Linked DNA regions of Neodiprion lecontei. The protein of the gene in region 1 purifies or fractionates together with the protein of each later gene. This does not show direct contact. Links are inferred from orthologs where the notes say so. Each region holds a gene or a part of one and is shown on either strand. Other genes may lie near its edges.

The links. Proteins that work in one complex are often made in the same cells at the same time.
Region 2: the proteins of RNA cytidine acetyltransferase (region 1) and THUMP domain-containing protein 1 homolog purify together in Homo sapiens (co-immunoprecipitation; 3 studies listed by BioGRID and IntAct, counting the BioPlex papers as one, with this or other methods). This does not show direct contact. The link is inferred for Neodiprion lecontei from reciprocal best matches to the Homo sapiens genes NAT10 and THUMPD1.

What each region holds. Positions count from the first base shown.
Region 1 is NC_060265.1:2,753,517-2,762,361, forward strand, and holds the start of RNA cytidine acetyltransferase, read left to right. Parts: upstream 1-3,842; intron 3,843-4,204; coding exon of another isoform or gene 4,205-4,362; exon of another isoform or gene 4,363-4,428; intron 4,429-4,605; 5' UTR 4,606-4,812; intron 4,813-5,091; exon of another isoform or gene 5,092-5,280; intron 5,281-5,539; 5' UTR 5,540-5,761; coding exon 5,762-5,869; intron 5,870-5,995; coding exon 5,996-6,259; intron 6,260-6,380; coding exon 6,381-6,539; intron 6,540-6,617; coding exon 6,618-6,854; intron 6,855-7,037; coding exon 7,038-7,242; intron 7,243-7,332; coding exon 7,333-7,454; intron 7,455-7,538; coding exon 7,539-7,675; intron 7,676-7,754; coding exon 7,755-8,039; intron 8,040-8,134; coding exon 8,135-8,216; intron 8,217-8,339; coding exon 8,340-8,456; intron 8,457-8,528; coding exon 8,529-8,705; intron 8,706-8,775; coding exon 8,776-8,845. Other genes in the region: ionotropic receptor 75a, read right to left, coding at 1,147-1,396, 1,628-1,743, 1,852-2,016, 2,084-2,295, 2,399-2,634, 2,708-2,875, 2,994-3,118, 3,241-3,552 and 2 more. UniProt on the Homo sapiens protein: RNA cytidine acetyltransferase that catalyzes the formation of N(4)-acetylcytidine (ac4C) modification on mRNAs, 18S rRNA and tRNAs.
Region 2 is NC_060262.1:19,551,351-19,563,193, forward strand, and holds THUMP domain-containing protein 1 homolog, read right to left. Parts: upstream 7,891-11,843; 5' UTR 7,704-7,890; coding exon 7,512-7,703; intron 6,008-7,511; coding exon 5,825-6,007; intron 5,720-5,824; coding exon 5,475-5,719; intron 3,661-5,474; coding exon 3,435-3,660; intron 2,663-3,434; coding exon 2,549-2,662; 3' UTR 2,134-2,548; downstream 1-2,133. Other genes in the region: ecto-NOX disulfide-thiol exchanger 2, read right to left, coding at 1,806-1,857. UniProt on the Homo sapiens protein: Functions as a tRNA-binding adapter to mediate NAT10-dependent tRNA acetylation modifying cytidine to N4-acetylcytidine (ac4C).

The DNA of each region.
Region 1 (8,845 bases):
TTTATATGTAAACTGTACAAAGATATCAAACAAATCTTATATACCTAATATAGAATAATCATAATTGATGAAAAATTTTTAAAAGTGCCGGAAGTTATGAAAAAGCGTAAATCGCACTCATATCTAATCGCAGTTTTTAATACTATTTGTAAATAAATAATTATAGGATCAAATACTGTACTTCATACAATTTTTATCAGCTAATGAATTGCATTGAAACGTAATTCAAGCTTATGTAACTGTTTAGAATTTACGTTTCATATTACATTGTAAGACATGTATCGAAAATTGCAGCAAAATGTTGAGAGCAATAGTACCTATTGCTACTAACTATCTATTAAAATGTACATACAAACGCTTTTGCTGTACACAAGACTGTTTGTTAAACATGGATTTGCAAAAGAATATATGTACGTTACATTTTTTGTTCAGATATCAAATCCGAAAATATACCAGGTGGTTATTCTACTGAAGTATATCTAATAACAATCCTCTACCTCCACTTTAAAAATCATAAAAGTGACAAATTAACATTAGTTACACAAATTTTATTAGCTGTGCAAGATATATTGAGAGAAATATATTAAGAGATATTGTGACGTATAAATACCTATAGTTTATTTTGCATGCATATCATCATTTTGTTTATGGTTCATTCACCAGAATTCAACTCAATTTGTTGATTCAAAAAAGACCTATACTTCCCACGTACCTATTTATTCATTTACCAGTACTCGCAATTTAAAATAGAACCAATTAGTGCTGATATAACTAGTGGAAGGATTGAAGTGGTAACTATGCCATAGTGATGTCATTAAGGTCTTTTTTAAATTTAAATTATTGAATTACAAAACTAATGCGTAGTGCATAGTGATGTGTGGAAGTTGGGGAGTGGCGGGGAAAGGACTGGAAAAGACCAACTCCCAAACATCACTATGTATGATTCACCATTGCCATTAAATACCAGATAACAAAACTAATCCTATGTGGAACAGTATAGAGTAATGGTTGGTTAAATTAAATTTTTGAGATAACATCAGTATTTGATGAATTTGTCACATTAAATCAATCTCTACTTTCTACAAACACAACATTATATTTCTCGGTCGACTGCATATAATATTTATAAAATTTTCAACTAGTAGTTCATTGTGATTTTCGCATAAATTGTCCAATAATCCAACTACATGGAATACCCTGTTTAACAAAGTATTCTATAAAGAATACTGTAGCTGCCCCGATAGCTCCGAATAACAGTAAAAACAATGCCGGTATAAATTCTCCAACTGGAATTTGAACAGGTTTCAACTTGTAGCTTGCAGGACAGAGTGGCTGTCTGTACCGCCATACATGTTTTATCCTCTCTCCTATTCCATGTTCAATAATTTGACGCAGTCTGTAAAGGACGTTTACAGTTCGAGTTATTGAACCAATAAATTTTTGTCATTTTTATCTCATGTTTTCGAGGATGCACACCATAGGATATTTAACACAGGCCCATGTAGAAGCAATAGCTCGAGACAAAAGAAAGTAGACCAAGTTACCTAAATGCAGTGGGTACTCGAAAACACAGGATATATGCCATGTATCAAAAGTATTTCTGTTAAATATGATTGAATGTACAGACCCATAGGTGACCATTTTTTTGAACGGGGAATGTTTACTAGTAACAGTGCCAAGATGCGGAGCAGGAAATAATGTAATTTCAACTAGATCACAAATTTCATCTTCAGTAAATTCATCCTAGAAATAATTATTAGATAAAATCAAATTAGATAGTAGATAATTATTCATTACATTCATATATGCATATGTTGTTATATGTTATGATATATTGAGCTGGTCTCTTGCCGTTATAAATTTATACGCAGAATCAACATCCGTGTGATAAGCAAAATTGCCCTTTTGCACTCTACGGAGCCCGTCGGTTACATTGAAGTAGGCGGCATATTTTCGACCTTTTCCAGGTGCAACTTTGCGCCTATAAAGTTCCAGGGCAATCGGATCTGTTGTAGTCTGCCAAGAAATAGTTGCACCGTTATCGTTCCATGGATAGTATGCAAGCGAATGAGAATTCCCTTACCGCAAAATGGTTGCGAGTGTAGGCGATGTCTTCAAGCCCTACAGGCATATCACTATCCAATAGATCTTGCAGTGTTTTAATGTATCGTGGCGGTTCTGCCAATAAAGAACCAACAATACTTGCTGAATAATACTGGTAGAGTAAGAGAGTCCACAAAAATAGTGAGAGGAATACCAAACGCCCAGAGTAAAGCTGAGGACCGTCCGATAAACCTAGATTATCAAGTCAGACTTATCCCATCTCATCTCCAACAACTTTGATGAATAAACTGGACATAAGCAATATATTGGTCAACTGCAGTAAATTTATTTTTACCCTGTTGGCATGCAGCAGCCAATGTAATCAAAGCTGTTTCAGATCCTGTATGCGAGTATAGAGTGTTAAGCGGTGGGTGATCTCGAAAATGGATTTCAACTCTTGCTGTGAGCCAGAGTAGAATCCAACTTAGTACAGCCATGATAATAGTGAAATACCAGACCTCCTTCTTAAATGGCTTTAAAAATCCATTGTGAACTGTACGCTTTTTTGGATGGCGAAATATGAAACAGCCTCTGTAAGAAATAGAAATTATATTAAGGGGCGATAAATGTTTAATTATGAGGTCATATTGCCAGGTTGAACAACTTTGCCATGTATGTTTGTACTGTAAACTCCGACACTTTGAGACGTTCATTTTTGAACATTATCGGACTTCCTCCAATGTCAGCAATTCCGGCAATCAGATCTCCTACCATACCATTATACGATCCGTTTATCAAGTAGCCCCAGCTATCCGTTAGTTTCAAATGAATTCTATTTATGTGGAAAAACAACGTATTTTTATTTGTTGTGCATGTAAAAAACGAGCGACTGTTACGTCAAGATCTTTGTGTGAATCTTGTCGAGAATTCAAACAGTTGAAAATACTTGCGTGAAATTGTAATAATCTTGTAAATTTCGGATCAGTGCGTAGTTGTAGCGATGCATTGTGTCGAGGTGTCGATTAATTGGATTTGTCATGTAAGTTGTGAAATCTGGAGTTGGCTCATGTAGAAGCTGAGAACAAAAAAAATTTCTGATCAGCTAGGCATCCTATGAACAAGTAATGCTGACAGAGGAAGAGAAAAATGCGGAGATACTGGAAATATTTTTTTTTCTAAATTATTCATTGTACGAACAACAAGTGACACATTAATACAGAGACCCTCCAAGTTCGCACGCCGTTGATACTTGTACTGAGTAAGTTTAATGTCCAGACCACTGTACTGATTCCATTTTCCCATGTATGTTACATTTAATATTCCGCCGTGTCTGTAACTTGGGTTGTAGACATCATACAAGATGTAATCCAATCCACTTTTTACAGCTACTGACATTTCCGTATCTATGGTCAGTGGCAGGTCATGGAGCGTTGTGATAGGAGGTGTATCTAGTTTGGTTACCAATAACCAGTGATAACTTTGATTATATGGAAGTTGCTGCCTTGAAAACTGAAAAATATTGATTAATTAGTATCCAGAGGTATGAAAGTGCATTTCAAGTATAAATACATATATAATATAGGTTGAAAAAGATTTGTAACTCAAGCTCACTTCTGACAGAACAGAGTCGCTGTATCGGCAGTCCAAGTTGAGGATTATACCAAGAGTGTAATAATTAACAGTTAACAATCTTCTCATGTCCAAAGCATCGGATGGTATGGGAATGTACGTAAGTTTCAGCTTAGATACCGTGGAGTGGTGATAAAAATTTACCTGCTCTGTTGACCAATGCAACCAAGGTAAAATTAGTGATAATGTAATTGTTCTTTCCCTACCTAAAACAATCCATCTGAATTTTCATAATAAATCTTGAGACAAGTTTCCACAAGGAATTTTATTTTGCCTATAATAACAGATACCAATATTGACATCTGATTCATACGTAGGAATCCTATAGAAAATGAATTAACATTCCATAGACGTTTCTCAAACTTAAAAATTATGGGAATGAACATGAATTTTTAAAATAAGGTCTCAAACGGTTTGGGTTAGAACAGTTTGACATTCTCTCAAGCAATTTGCTTATAGTGTTATAATCTAATTATGAAGATTCATTTCGTGAACAAATTCTATTCAGAATAACTCGACGAAAAAGTAATACCCATTAGTCCTACCATGGGTATCCCAACAAGCGAAAACTGTGACCTGACGTATGAATTTTCTTTCGAAAAAGTCAATTGTGAGCTTTTGAATTTCATAATTGTTGGCGTGTACACGAACCAAGATAGCAATGAAAAAAAATAGATATAAAGAGCTCATTTGGCAAGTATTAAAGATCTCTACTGGCGACTATTTAACGAATCTTCACTCTACAAATGACTTTCTGAATCTAACTTCTTAAATGTCAAACAACCGCCGTTTCATGTCATACTCAAAGGACGTTTACTCATTCATTATGAAATAAGTATTAAAGCTCGTTCCATTTCCTTGTCACTATACATCTTTTACAATTCGATAATTTCGTGTGTACATATACATAGCGAACACATCATTTCATTCCAGAACATAGCATAATTGAGGAGTTAACATACATCAACAAGGAGCGGAACTCTTCAAATATCCGTGCATTCTATCATCTTGTAAAATATGGGGTTCTCTGGGCTGCAATTTTTCCTGCCGAAGAAATATCCTGCCTACTCAATAATTCATCGATACCCTCAGCGGATGTAATGAGCACCTTGCTCACCGCGGACCACGAGCTTCCAGCTGGTATGATGATCAGGTCGTGTTTATTGATGAAAATCTCCGAGCAAATAATATCAGTAGAATACTCAATTCTCGACGCTCATTCGGGTGCAAAATCAAAAAACAACATTTTATGTATATTGAGAAATGTTATTCAATACTTCGATTATTCGCCTTATCACAGGCAACCCAATTGGCTTTTCTGTACGTTGAGTTGCTTTCGTATCGTATGATCATCACCATCCCTGCCAGTTTTTCCAATCGTACGATCAGGATCGTATTGGTACAGTAATTTTACCTCCTGTACGGACATACGGTTCAGTTGCTTGATCGTAACCGCGATTCAGCCTCCGATATTGCAAAAGAATCAGGTACAGAAGTATGAAGGAACTGTCCCAGTAATTCACATTTCGGGTTATATGTGTTTCATTATTGATTCGAAAATAAATAAATAAATGTTTTCTACAAATCTCTACCAATTGCGTCGTGTAAGTAAGTAATTCATCATTTTTATCGTTAGTTTCATGAAGACTAGCTAGTCTCCATGATTAGCTTCAAATATTCTTGAACGCAAAAATGTAAATAATTTGGTTAAAACCTGTCTGGCCTTTGAGAAAAGAAGCAAAATCGTGATAATTATACGACCGTAGAAAAAAAAGAACAAAAATGTACTTCCGTTGACTGAAAATATATATCGTGAAATCTTTGTACAGTTCCGAAATTTTAAAGTAAAGTCCATCTTCACTTTCAGTACGACCTGTTGCTACCAGAGGGCTGGCAACGCTGATCCCTGATGCTGCTCAATGCTGCTGCTCAGTTTTATTTTCGACTCGTACCTGTGGTGTACGTCTGCTTGTGCCGCTGCGCGTGGTTTGTCAACTTAACCTCAAACTTCTACTTGAATTTAGAAAGTGTAATACGTAAGGTTTTGATTTTATAATATAACTTGATTTTGTGAAAAATCTGTATAAGTATGGTGCGAAAAAAGATAGATAACAGGATTCGCATCTTAATCGAGAATGGAGTCAAGTTCGGTCACAGAACAATGTTCGTTGTTGTCGGTGATAAAGCGCGTGATCAGGTAAGCACTGTCACTAGGTAACAGAATTTAAACTCTAACAATAGTCAAGTTTTTACCAACAATTGACGTATTAATACAACTCAGTGTCACTAATATAAACTTCCTGGATTCATCGAAATTGGTTAGGTGGTCATACTACATCATATGCTGTCAAAGTCGGTGATCAAAGCACGACCCTCTGTGCTGTGGTGCTATAAAAAAGAACTGGGTTTCAGCAGCCACCGTAAGAAGCGTATGAAGTCATTACAACAAAAGATAAAATCTGGGAAGCTGAACGTCAATGAGGATGATCCTTTTGAATTATTTGTCGTTTCAACTGACATTCGCTACTGCTACTATTCCGAAACACATAAGATTTTGGGCAACACATTTGGCATGTGTGTTCTCCAGGTAAGTCTGATTATCATCATGAGTAAATTACTGCTCTTGCTCTAAGTGGATCTTGATCTTATTGAAAATAGCTCTATGTATTTTTTTATACTTAATATAAGTGACTTCAATGCATTTTCAGGACTTTGAAGCACTAACTCCAAATCTGTTGGCTCGTACGATTGAAACTGTGGAGGGAGGTGGAATAATTGTTTTACTTCTACAATCTCTGAACTCTTTGAAACAGTTATATACAATGACTATGGATGTTCATCAACGTTTTCGCACCGAGGCTCATCAGGTGAAATTAAAAAATAACTCTGATATTCATTCTCACAACTAGCAATATCTTTTATAATTATCGTAAAACATATTTCAGGATGTGGTGTGCAGGTTTAACGAGAGATTTCTACTTTCTCTTGCATCTTGCAACCGTTGTCTTGTTGTAGATGATCAGCTGAGGGTGCTTCCGATATCCTCGCAAAATTTGAAAATTGAAACAGTAGAAACCACCAGAGAATCTGAAGAGCAAAGTGAACTAGACATATTGAAAGATAGCCTTCGTGACACTCAGCCTGTCTCTGCACTTGTTAATTGCTGTAAGACTGTTGACCAGGTGAATATAGTGTGTCTATAATATCTACAAGTTTTCACTGGAGTTGGTAACGAATCTTGCTCTAATAATTTTTCTATCAAATCATCGGCAAAATACTTGGTAAAACTCAGCAATTTTTTTTTTTCAATCCATAGTTGCTACTGATTCACGTTAGGAACAAAATAACATCAAATTTTTTTGTAGGCTAAGGCTTTGCTCACATTTATTGAAACAATATCTGAAAAAACACTTCGATCTACTGTTTCTCTAACCGCTGCCAGAGGACGTGGAAAATCCGCAACAATGGGTCTTGCTGTTGCTGCAGCTGTAGCATTTGGCTACTCTAACATATATGTTTCTAGTCCGAGCCCAGAGAATTTGAATACATTCTTTGATTTTGTTTTTAAAGGCAAGTATCCATTACCCCCATGAATAAATAGTTATCAGTTGACTGATCATTGAACAGTAAACTTTTACATGTACTAGTGTATATTTACAGGATTTGATGCTTTGGCATATCAGGAACATTTAGATTATGGACTTGTACAGTCAACTAATCCAGAATTCAATAAAGCAACTGTTCGGGTAAACATTTTCAGAGACCATCGACAAACCATTCAGGTATGGTAACTTTGTCTGAAATTACTTAATATAGGATAATTCATAGCACATATCCACCTTGACGATATCAATTGATGATTGCAGTATATTTATCCAACCGATGTACAGAAACTAAGTCAAGCAGAGTTGCTTGTAATTGATGAAGCAGCAGCGATACCGTTGCCTTATGTCAAGGCCATGCTAGGTCCTTACTTGGTATTTCTTGCTTCCACAATAAATGGGTAAATTGGATAATCTAACTTATAAATTCTTTCACTTAACTTAAGAAGTTAGTAAATTACATAATATACACATTGACAGGTACGAAGGTACTGGACGATCTTTATCCTTGAAACTGTTGCAACAATTGAGAAGCCAAACGTCGGGATCAAATAAACATGACAAGAGTTTCCAGTCTAGTAAAGATACTCAGACAGTTGGAAGGCAGTTGCATGAACTTACACTTGAAGAATCTATCAGATACAAGTCTGGTGATTCTGTTGAGCAGTGGCTCACTGAACTACTTTGTCTTGATGCAATGACGCAAGCTCCTATTCTTTCTGGTTGTCCACCTCCTGATACTTGTCAATTGTATTACATCAACAGGTAATCCCTATTTTATCTCTGGATTTTCATGTAATAATGCAGAATATAAGCATTAAAAATTTTACATTGAATTATGAACATATTTTGACCTTCAGGGACACTTTATTTTGCTACCACAAAGCTTCGGAAATGTTTTTGCAAAGGTTGGTTGCATTGTACGTCGCTTCACATTATAAAGTAAGTATATGGCTATGTGATATATTTTGTCATATTGCATGAATCGCCGGTATTATATGTATATCTATATATGTATATCGTGATTATTACACCATTTTACAAACGCATAACAAACCTTCACAGAATAGCCCAAATGACCTCCAAATGATGTCGGATGCTCCGGCACACCATTTGTTCTGCTTGTTGGGACCTGTTGACCCAAACAAAAAAGCATTGCCTGAAATATTAGTAGTAATTCAGGTTTGTATCCATTGTCTTATTTAGTATACATGATACCTGTACACAATGTCTGACAACAATCTTTTCCTGCAGTTATGCTTAGAAGGTCAAGTCAGCAAATCTACGGTTGCAGATGGTCTTGGAAGAGGACGGAGAGCTGCTGGTGATCTTATTCCGTGGACTATTGCTCAGCAGTATCAAGATCAGGACTTTCCTACACTTGCAGGAGCGCGAATTGTCAGAATTGCAACACACCCTGATTATCAGGCGGTAAGACGATTATACATTTCTTCTTTTTCTTTTCAGAAATAGTAACAAGATAATTCATTTCCTGTTGCAGATGGGATATGGCACCCGAGCATTGCAACTTTTGAAACAATATTATGAAATGAAAATACCGAACATTGATG
Region 2 (11,843 bases), on another chromosome or scaffold:
TACTGAACTGATTTGTAAATTCTGTTTCTTTGTTCGGATTTGGCCTTTGCAGCGTAGCAATTTTTGATTCTACCCTAATTATAATCATGACTCTAGCTAGCCTATTATTAGGCTTTCATCGCTTTGTAACGAAAATGCTGAGTGACTTGACATACATAACTCAACCTTGCATATCGTCTCTCGTCAATCACGCAAACTGTTTTCATATAATTAGCGACTCTATTATACTATTTCTTTAAGTGTTAAGGATTTTTTTTTCTTCCTATGTACCACCATGTAAAATGCTTTTTTATTTTATTGTTTTATCCTTATACTATGTAAAAGGAAATTAACTCATTAAGACAAATAAATAAATCAATTTTAACCTGATTTTGGCTTTTACAACCATTGATGAACACATCAAACTATTTGTCAAAGAATCACAAGTTATTTGATGAAATTGATGATTATTACATCAAAACCAAACTAAGTTATTACAGTAAAGAATCGATTTGCAGACAACGAAGAAATTATTTAAGGCATTGCTTCAATAAAAACATTATTTTAAATGAAGTTTAACTTCAGGATGTTATTGTAATGATGTATAGTTAAATTAACTTTAGGTTCATCTGAAATTGAGCAGGTCATAATGAAACAAAATATACTCTCGGTTAATGGACAGTGATATGTTGACTGCTGAATTGTCAAGGGTAACACAGACTCGAAAGATAGGCACATTGTTAATATACTGTCAGATTGCAGGTTTAATGTTCTTGTCTCTTTAATAGCCTCAAAACATAAGGCTGAAATTCGCCATGCTAACAATACATTTTTGGGAAAAATCGTTACTTGGTAATCGTTTAAAATTTACAATTAGTTAAAAAAAAAAGCAAAGCTATCTCAACTTCTACAAAGTTATTCCACAGATTTATTTTCAATGTTCCGTTATGTTAACATTGCTTTCTTCAACTTTACATAAAAATCTGTTTGGACATGAAATTAAATACAGTGTTTGAAATGAATATTATAAAACTGTCGAAGTGCATAAGGTATTTCTTCAATTATTAGTTTTGTGAATGTTAGAGGTTAAGTCGTACCCATCGGAGGCATCGGTGTTGCTGGCATTCCTGGGAAATTGTACGCCATTGTGACTGAGCTTCTTAGCTCCTTACTTTGTTGTAAACAATAACAATTTTTTTACCGGTATGATAGAATCTCTCATGAGTAAGTTTTAGCACGCATTGAACTGGACAGCGCGTGGTCGATATGCAGCGTAACTTAGCGTCCACACAATATGACAGCAACGATGACAACTCATATGAAACGAAACAGAATCACGGAAGAGTAAAGACCGTGATCACGGTCAACGAGTCGTTTATCAAAACACACTGAACTACACTTAGTAAACATAAAACTGATTACCGAACATCACTTAAGCACTCTCATTTTCAGCACACATATACTACCGAAGAACATAGAGGTATCAAGGCATGTGTATGTCTGTGATGCTTAGATAGATTCTGACATGTGATATCCCTAGGAATTCTTCGGTATTGAATGAGCACTGTTTGCATTGCCGGCCGCCCGCCGTAGACTCTTTTTTGTTTTCTTCTCGACATCAAATGCGCCACTGGTAGTGCAAACGGTGCTCACCCCAGCTCATCCAACATCGTGGATTGTAAAATTCCTAGGGATATCGAAGTGCCAAAATCTATCTAATAGATTCCGACGATCGGCCCTGCATGGGACGGCACCTTTTAGAGCATATACCATCAGAATCAATTTAAAGTGATGAATATCACTATACAAATAAAATTCATTATTACCTTCCCCTTCAGGCCACCCTGGAATTGCGTGTTTAACGGCTGCTGCAGTCATATAACGTGAAAAATTCTCCAATACTTTTTTTCGGTACAAATGTTGGTTTTATATTTAATTACTCTTTTCTCATACGGGTGAGCCTTTCCGTTTTGTATTTTGGCTACTCTCATATAATTCCGCAAGTTGCGCAGTAGTCAAAATTTTCAAAGGGTGCATAATTTTTACATCATTCATGAAAAAGACGCATGTAATGGGTGGGTACTGCAGTTGTAGCACCTCACTTGAAGCCTAGACTGATTGGGGCATGTGGGAACAACAGTTAGAGAAAAAGTATACTTGTAAATTTTACGCAAACGAACATTTGCGATGATAAGTTTCCTTCGTTGGGAAAATTCACTTTGCCTGGCATGGCTACATTATCTTGACCTGTGGCGATCTGTACTTCACAGATATTTATCCTGATAAATATTACAAAATTAGAATAACTTTCAATTGTTCTAAAGTAATCACAGCAGGTCAGAGTATAAGAAACGATAACATTTTACATAGTTGACAATGTAATGAAATTTTCTATCGAAAAGTGTTCAAGCAAGTAGATTACTACTGTTCTTGACCGATAAATGTATATGAAATATTACCGATGTACATAAAAACTCGAATAAAGAATGTGGTTGTTGTTATTATTATCATTTTATAGGAAATCATTGAATCCTGCAATAGTAATCCTCTTGTTGATTTTCTTTTAGCATTAGACGTCAACTGGCAACTCTACTGGTTTATCACTTTTTGACTCCTCTGTTTCTGTGGATTCTTCTTCTGGCTTAGAATGCATTGGTTCTGGTGATGCAACGTTAGCAGACTCCTATAAAAATGTTGATTGTGTTACATGTCTATAAGATTCAAGAATTAGCTTTCATGAAAGAAAAATCCAAATGGCATATCTTGACAAATCACCATTAGTTGAATATAGTTGGAAACATTCCCTGACTTTCCTTCACATAAGAAAATTTTTCCCTGACTAAATTTCAAACGGATATTGCTAATTCAAGTATCTAATCAACAAATCTCCGACTCAATCTTTAATCAAAAATACATCAAAAATCTAATTAGTGGTGGCAGGAACAAGTATTTGAAAGAGGAAAATATTCTTTTGCCACTGCCTAGCCATTTCGAGTAAGGCTCGGCTGCCTTGTGGACGAAAATATTTGCAGGATAGGATGATACCAATAGTATTCATTTTCCACATGCGCAGTCGGTTACTTAACCTGCCAAGTTTCAATGTTTCTTCGCAGTATGAGTAAGGCAAAATGATAACTAGATTCGTCAGATTCTTGGTTAGTGTTTGCCGTTCCGAATATTGATAATTTGGGAGAATAAATTGGGAAGAGAGCTTGCAGTCTCAACTACTGCTTTATACGGGAGTAATAACACAACTCAATACCACGAATTTTTGTACAAATGATTGTTAACCAATGAGTTCAATAATCTCCCAAGTACTCTGTATAAATATACAGTCTATTAGAGTTGGAATAAAATTTGTAAACTATTATTAATGCAATTTTAATGATTGGCGAATTTCAAGAATGTAATAAATAAGTTTTCAACTTATCTTAGTTGAATAGTAAAATGCAAACCTTTTTATCTGATTCCCTGACTCCACATATTTCCAGTAAATTGTACTTCTTGTATTTATAATAACTGGGAGCTATTGACAGCAGACATACTCCACGTATCACTTCTACAACAACGGCAAGTTCAGGATTTTTTAGGTCTGCTTTATTGCCGGGATTTTTTTTTGCGATGATGTCAGCCAAATCTTCTATTAATTCACCCCGTTTGATGCTGTTATTGCTGTGCCGACTAAAATGAAAATATGATGATTACAAACAGATTTTATTAGAACCAGAATACTATTTGCAATCTGTGCCGTAATTTCTCACATTACAGTACTGTTTGTAGACCTAGAAATAAGTGCGAATGTTTTTAATTTTGATTATATGATACACTCCTTACATGTGTAATTGTAATCATAAGATTAAACTTTCGTTCGTAAATGCTTATTGTTGTAAATGATATGAATAATTATTATAAATAATGATTTGATGAAGTAGCGTGAATTCACGTATCTGTATCGAGGTAGTCCAAATAATAGTAAATTTAGTTCTGTCATCACCCCACCCTTTTCCTTTCTCCTTTTTCGTGAATATGTCCTCACAAATTCACCACTCTGAATTTTTTTAGATTTTTGTTTGCGAAGCAATTCAAAACACAAATAATTAATTGACCTATGGAGTGTTAAAGTTAAGATAGTACATATTTTACATAGTAACAGATATGACGTTCTCAAGGAGGGTTCTCAGTGTCAGGGGTAGGTAGCAAAACTGACTGAAGCCAATCAGTTGGTCTTCAAAGACCGTTTGCAAAAAACTTGTATTATAATAGGTATGTTATAACTTAAATATGTAAACAGTGGATTCAATTGTGTTTATAGATATACTTGTTATACTGAAAAACTACGATATGGTGTATCCGTAGGCATAGAAATGAATGGTAGAAGTGCAATGTATTTTTTAAAAAAGACAAGTTATTTATATGGGGTTCTTAAGTTAGAAGAGCAAAAAGAAAGTACTGGTGAACTTACTATACTGAAACTGGGTGAGGTGCCAAAATCTGGCCAGATCAAATCTCATTCCAAATATATGAACACAAGGAGTTTAATTTAATTAAATTAAAATCAGCTATAAGCGTTTGAGCTCTTATTTTTATCCTTTACTCTATGTTTTGAAAAGTACAAAGATATCAAAAGACAATCAAAATAATACAAATTCGTGTTATGTCCACTCTACTTTCCATGCGTCACTTATCCCAATGACCATTCACACTACATGATAAATTGTAAGCCTGTGCTACCTACCCGGTTACACTGTCAGCTCTGAAGATAATTCCTTGAAAAAAGAAAAGGAGAATACGTTCTTGAGATTAAATTACAAGTTTCGATATATTTTGCAATGTATCCCACTTTTCAAATTTCAAGAAACTGGAATATTGTCTAAATAATTAAAATATTATCTTCTTTCAACTTGCATTGTTCGCTATCAGCGAATATGAATCAGTCTAAATTCATGGTAACAGTGAATAGTTACTGATTTCTGAATGTAAGTATACCACTGGGAAAATTAGTACTTAAAATACTACTGTGAAACCATCTATTTTATCTATTCACTGATAGCAGCAAATCGTCACTGATTCCGAATTGGAGAGGGCAATGGTATTTCTTTGCAAATGACTTGGTAAAATTCACGAATGTACGAAATTTATCTCCCTGACATATCTACGGTAATGCGAAGTGAAAAAATACCTGCAAATTGATAGAGTTATTGCAGTCAAGAAAGCCATTATTTATTCAATCCAATCATCCACCTATCTCATCAGCCATCCGTCCGTCCATCCATTCATAAATCATTCATTTCATAATATACGAGTGAGTTCTGTAGTAAAATCTATTCGATTTCCCATAACGTTGACAATTTAGGTGTTCCATTATGTCGCAACTGTTGTAAATTTTACAGAGAAATGAAATGTACCATTATATTTTTCACTGTGATTATTTATTTATTCATTAACTGACTAATTTTGGTGCAATGAGAAAACTACTGTAAGTAAAAAATACGTACTTGAATATGATGGCAAATGTTTTTGGCTCTTGGGCAAAATATTTTTCAAACAATGTGTTGGCCTTCAATTTTATGTCATCCATGTACGCCTTACAAACAATTTCAACGGGCAGCAACCGCATCAGATATCGGGTTCTCTGTTTTTTTGTTTCATACAATTCTTTGATGATAGTAGAAACTAATTCCAGCGGATTAGGTATGGTTGTTCTAATAAAAACGACACTTTTTACACCTGTGTCTACAACCTGTAAATGCATAAAATGCAGTTTACTTTTTACGTTACATTATTTTATTATAGTAATTTTTTTTCAATCTATCTGCTTTTACATTAGTTATGACAAACCACTTACTTGGAAACGACGTAAATTCACAGGCTTTTGAGATTCTGCCTTCAGTTCAGCAACTTCTTTCTTCAATGCTTCTGAAATATCCACTGAATCTTCCTCTTCCTGTGATATTTTCTCATTACCATTTTCTGTCTCATTTTGTTCAGTAGAGGCTGTTTCATCTGATGCTCGCGTACAAAGCTCAGTCTGTAAATTTGTTTGAAGAGCTGATGAGTTTAACCATACCATGACATAATAAAGGATTAAATTACAGAATAATCTCATCGGTCTAGGAACTTCTATACTGTTAACATTGCTGTACGTAGGCCACTTGTTAGGCTTGTTTTTAGTTCAACATGTGTGCTAAACGCAGAACCACTTTTAAGAAGATGTGTGTATGACAAAGAATTAGAGATAAGGTTCAAGTTCATAACGTTAACATAATGATGCATTCATAGAAATACTCGTTATTTCACAATTCTAGGATTGTGTAAAATCCACTAAAACATAATATTGCATTAAGACACTTGTGATATTGTGATATATCAATTTCTTTAAAGTCAGTTTAGAACTGGAAAATGGTGATTTTTCTTACATTTCGTTACATTAACGTTACTAACTTTAACTTCGCTACCCTTTCTATTCTCAAAAGTTCAACAAAGACAGTTTATTCTGAACATTTCTGAACAGCTGATTTTCTAACAACAATACAATCTTATATGACCAATGACTTCATCTCACTAGATCTGCCAACTGATACGTTGACATGTGTGAATGAGATGCTGATGATGTACTGAGATCATTTTAATAACTTGAAGGTCATTTGTGTAACTATTGAATCAACAAAGTATCTACTCGCATTACAAAGTGAACCTTCACAGAAAATTTTGGATACTCCAGATATGTTAAATGTTCAAGACTCCTTGATTTTTACAATAAATTGGAATGTCCGAATTTAAGGCATCTTGAAATTGAGTGACAAGTGTTAGATTAAGTTCGACCTCTGTTAAACGTTCATTATAATTTCGATAAATGGTCGTATTGTAACGAAGTTCACACCTCTTATACACGCATGGCTGATGCCGATCTAATATTCATAAAATGTTTAATCACTTGTTTAATGTGTGGTTACTTGGCCAATTAATATGGCTGTAATAAAAGTCAGTCTTCAGACTTTAACGGGAGTACTTTGATTTCAAATCATATCTGCTTTTTCGCATATTATTCTTTGCTGTAAGACTTTTTTCACTCGACGTTTGCTCGATATGCATGAAGAATCATTCATTTTCTTAGAGACAATTCGCAAATTGCTCTTTATTACAGTATGTTATAGCTATTCGAAACCACAATACACACAAGAGGGACAAACTATGCTGCCGGTGTCTGTAATGTTGAAGGAGTGAATTTTTTAAAAATTCTACTTGCATGAAAAATTGGTGTTCTCAAAAGCTTGTTCGAACACTTTATTTTTTCTGAAAAGTTTGGGACACACAAACGTTTGACATATTTAGAGTCTCTACTTCATACAAAGATAAACTTGAATTAAGTGAACGATTACACATACTATTTGGTCTATTTTTTCGGTCAGAATTCTTGCGTGTGTGCAGAAATGAGTTACAGCGAAGACTGATTTTTTTCATTCACAGCTTAAATGCCCAATGTAACTGCATAGTAATTCTAGCTGTCATCTATCAAAATTACTTCATCGTACCTGTTCAATACCATAAAGATTATCTGCATATTCTGACAGTACACTGTACACTTCGCGAACGCAGTCTTTTTCTCGGAAATTACACGTGCAAAAAAAGCCTTTGATTCCTGGCTCCAAATTATACTGTTTCCGTTTCTTCTGATAATTGTGATGTCCTGAATAGTAATTTTTCTTGCGTTTTTGTGAATCCATTTCGACGTTAATTCACTTTATTACTCGATCACTCATTTCTTCACCATCAAACAATACTTCAGATGCTAGAACTGTTTACAGTTCACCGACATACATTCTAGGTTAGGTGAGGTTATGTGTATGTAAGATGATTAGGGCCGTAGACTTTTTTTGCCGCCGACGGCGCGGCGCTGCCGCATCAATTTGTCGTCGCGTCAATTCGAGGGCCGTGAAAATCCAGCTTAAGGACAGATTGTATACTTACTACTTTCAAGATCTCTAGATTATACAGGTCAAGACACGCGTGTTCCAGTTTTTCTCATTATACGTGGGCAAAAATGTTCTATGCGCGTTCGCCCAAAAAATATCAAACTTACATTACCGCATTAACCAGTTTTGACCAATCTTGCGCAATTTTTTGAGGTTAAGCATTAACGAGTTGAGTCCTTAGTGGCCTGACATTCACGAAATAAATAGAAGCACGTATATATTTTGAGGTTAATCATTGTGACAGGTCAGGAATCAGAACCACACCGGGTGCTTTCCATTTAGAGCACAGTGTGACACAGTGTACACATTTCTATTGTAAGCGCTCAATCCGGGCAAAGGAATAGACCAGAAATGTTTACACCGTGTCATGCTGTGCTCTAAATGGAAAGTATCTATTGTCATACGACTTTTGGGGCATTTTCACTAATTTTTTTGCCCACGCGTGTCTTGACCTGTATAATCTAGGGACCTTGACTACTTTGTGCCGACTGTGGCGCTGTAGGTTTCTCTGTGTTGTCAACATAACTGTCTAGTGTAAGAATTAGCCGTGTCAAATTTATTGTCCCCAAGTGTACACATACATACGTGCGCACAAAAAATATAAATATTATTTTTTTCGGAAAGTAAACATTACATGCGGATATATTTTTTAATGAAAATAAATATCTAAGATATTGTTTTAAAATATATAATGTAATAATACAATATCGTATCATATGAACAGTATAATGAGTCAGAGAAGACCTTTCCATAACTTGTCAAAAATACAGCAGAAGAGTCGGGAGAATCTTACAAGTTGTCAATCGATAAGTTTGCCCAACGAATTTCTTCATCAAGATAAGAAATATTCACATGAGGCTGTAAACAAGACTAAAACTCATATTCAGCTTTAAAGCATGACAAATATGCTTGTATAACAATAAGTGATAAGTATTGATGTAGCTTACATCAAATCTTTTACAGGCGACAGTGGCATCTCTAAGACGATCAATTTAGTTTTTCACAGTTTTGTACGAAGTCAAGGTTGAGCTGCGAATACCGGGCGAACAGCATCAAGTGATCAAACTGATAGAGGTTATAGACCCGGTGACCAGCTGAGTAAATTAACCCAAAGAACATTTGGTCTCCAAAGTCCCGTTCGCGAGACACGACCGGTTAAAAAAATCCAGCCAAGTGCGGGCATGAACGCAATCGAGTAAACTAAACGCCAGCATGGGAGCAAACGAGTACTCAGCAGGCAGCGGTTATTGATCTTGTTGATGTGCACTCGGATGCTGATGCAGAACATAACGCTTTCAAATTCACGAATTTTGAAGGAAAACAGTCTTGACTTTAAATTTAGATCGCTAGTCACTGCCTACTGTGTACCCGGTTGCTGACATGCTGGCGCTTGGTGTACTCGGTTGCCTAAATGCCGGCGCTTCGCGGGATTTTATTAATCAGTCGTATCTCGTGAATGCGACTTTGGAGACCACATGTTCTTCAGGTTAATTTACTTAGCTCGACCATCTCTATAGCCCCCATCAGTTTGGTCACTTAATGCTGAGTCACCCTGTATTTTGGAAAAATTTTGAACTACTTCATTTTTAGTTCTCCTCGCTTCAAGAATGTTCCTACGAAGATTTTTTTTTCCTTCTATTGAGCATTTTTAAAATTGTGAATTAAAAAAATTTAATCTCTTAAATTTTCAAAATAGCCGACAAATTCTGAAACACTTTTCTCTTTGCTAGAAGTACATGGAAGATGTCTCAAAGGCTGAACCTATTTTATGAATTTTTCCTAAAATTTGGAAATGGTAATTGGGTTTTAATTGAGAAAAATTATGCAAGTTCTTGAATAACTATAAAAATGAATAATGGAAATGAATCTAACATAAGGTTCGTTGCAAATTAATTGGAATGAAGAATAAACGTCTTGTGAATTTAGTTTAAATTTTGATAATCTGTTAACATCGTTTTTCAGTAATATAACTTTTTGGAAATGTGACAAAAAATAGCTAAAAAAATTATTTTACCTTTTGCATAATATTGACGTACTTATCAAACCATATTTTTCTTCTCAATTGTTGAAAAGCTAAACGATGAATTCATTTACACGACGGCTGTTATTCTGGTTTCACTATGGCCGATGTAGTAATATCGGATGTAAAAATGCATACTAAAACTGAAATAACAGCGCCGTGTAAACATACTCGTTGTTATTTTCAGTTCATGGTTCTCCAGAGTATTAAAAAAAAACGGTCAAGAATCTTTTTCTCACAGGGCAAATTTTGAAATGTTCAGAATGACACAAAACACACTATTGAAAAATCAACAGCTGTTTTTTAATAACTGATTTTCAAGGGGAATAATCCGATGGCTTTCAAATCATTAAATCCTGTTTCCAACGCAAAGTTATCCGTAAAGTCAATTTTTGTCCTGTCGGTTGTACCTACTACTGTCATCAAAAGATACTCATACTTATAATCTGCTATTCCACATCAAAGGAAATTGAAGCTAGAATAGTTACACCTTGCGCTATTGCACATTTATTTAATTTCATGAATGATTTTCATTGTCGTTTATTCATAACAATTTATAAATTTCACCTCCTCAACACTACAACACTCAGAAAACTTTCAACTTTCGTCCTGAACGACGGAATTGCAAGTGACATCATTATTACCGTACGGAGGAACTTGTAACAAAAAGTCCCGTATTGACGGTAATGTATGGACATTTCGTACATTTCGACAAAATTTCTTGGTGAAAATAGGAAAAAATAATGGTTTTGCCATGAATAACATCTTAAAAATATGAGCGTTTTCTATAATTCCGACTAAATAATATCATCAAGGTTTACGAGGTGTCCGCTAATTACTAGTCAGTATGGGAATTCTTGTTACAAAAAGTTCCTCGATGATAATATAGTTCACTTTCTTCAAGAAATAAAATTTAAAAATTACCCACTATCCTACAGGCAAAATTCAGTAATTCAAATTATTACACAATTGTATCCTCTGGGTAATATTATTATTAGGGGTTACCGGAAAAGTTCTGAAATTCCGGGTAAAATATTATCGCCTTTGTCGGAAATACATATTCTCAAATCCGAAATATCTAATAATCAACGCGGGCACTGCTACAAATGTATAATAAAGTGGTCAGATATGGACAATTTTAATCTGAGCCACTTGATAATAAATTTCTGAACAATCTTATGTTTGGGGATCAGTGGACGAAGTCACAATCTAACCAGGTAATGTAAATAGAAGTTGAAAAAAAGAACCCTGATCATTTTCGAATTTTTTTTAATTACTTTTGTGTCAATGGTTGCCTGAGGTTCATCAGGGTTTGTTACAGCGCGGACTCGAACATTATTAACAATCGAACGTTACCTTATTTCCAAAATGTATTTACAAGTAGTATTTTTATGTAGAATGGTTCGGGTTTTCCGATGCAAATAAACTGTATTTTGTAAAAACCACGGAAATCTAACGTATGTTGAGAAATTATTTTTATACGTCAGCTGCATCTTCGATTTATCTCGTCCATTTTCGATGTCGAAAAGTCCCATAAGGCCATCAGTCTTTATACATCTTCAGTGAACGCTCTGGGACGCCCTGGGTTCACATATTATTCAATAGAATATATATATATATATATATATATATATTTGTTAATCTTTAACATAAAATTGATGCTGTGCATTTTTGCTGTCTTGGTGCAACTGTTTTCGCTGAAAATATCCGCAGTGTGCCGTTCTTATTTTTAATGTCAACAACTTGATAGTTTCCAATGAAGACAACTGAGACCTTGTTACGTAAGTCGTGCTGAACATTACCCATGTATTTTTAATCGAATTCAGAATTATTGGAAATGAAAACGCTTATTTGACTGGCTTTTACGTAAC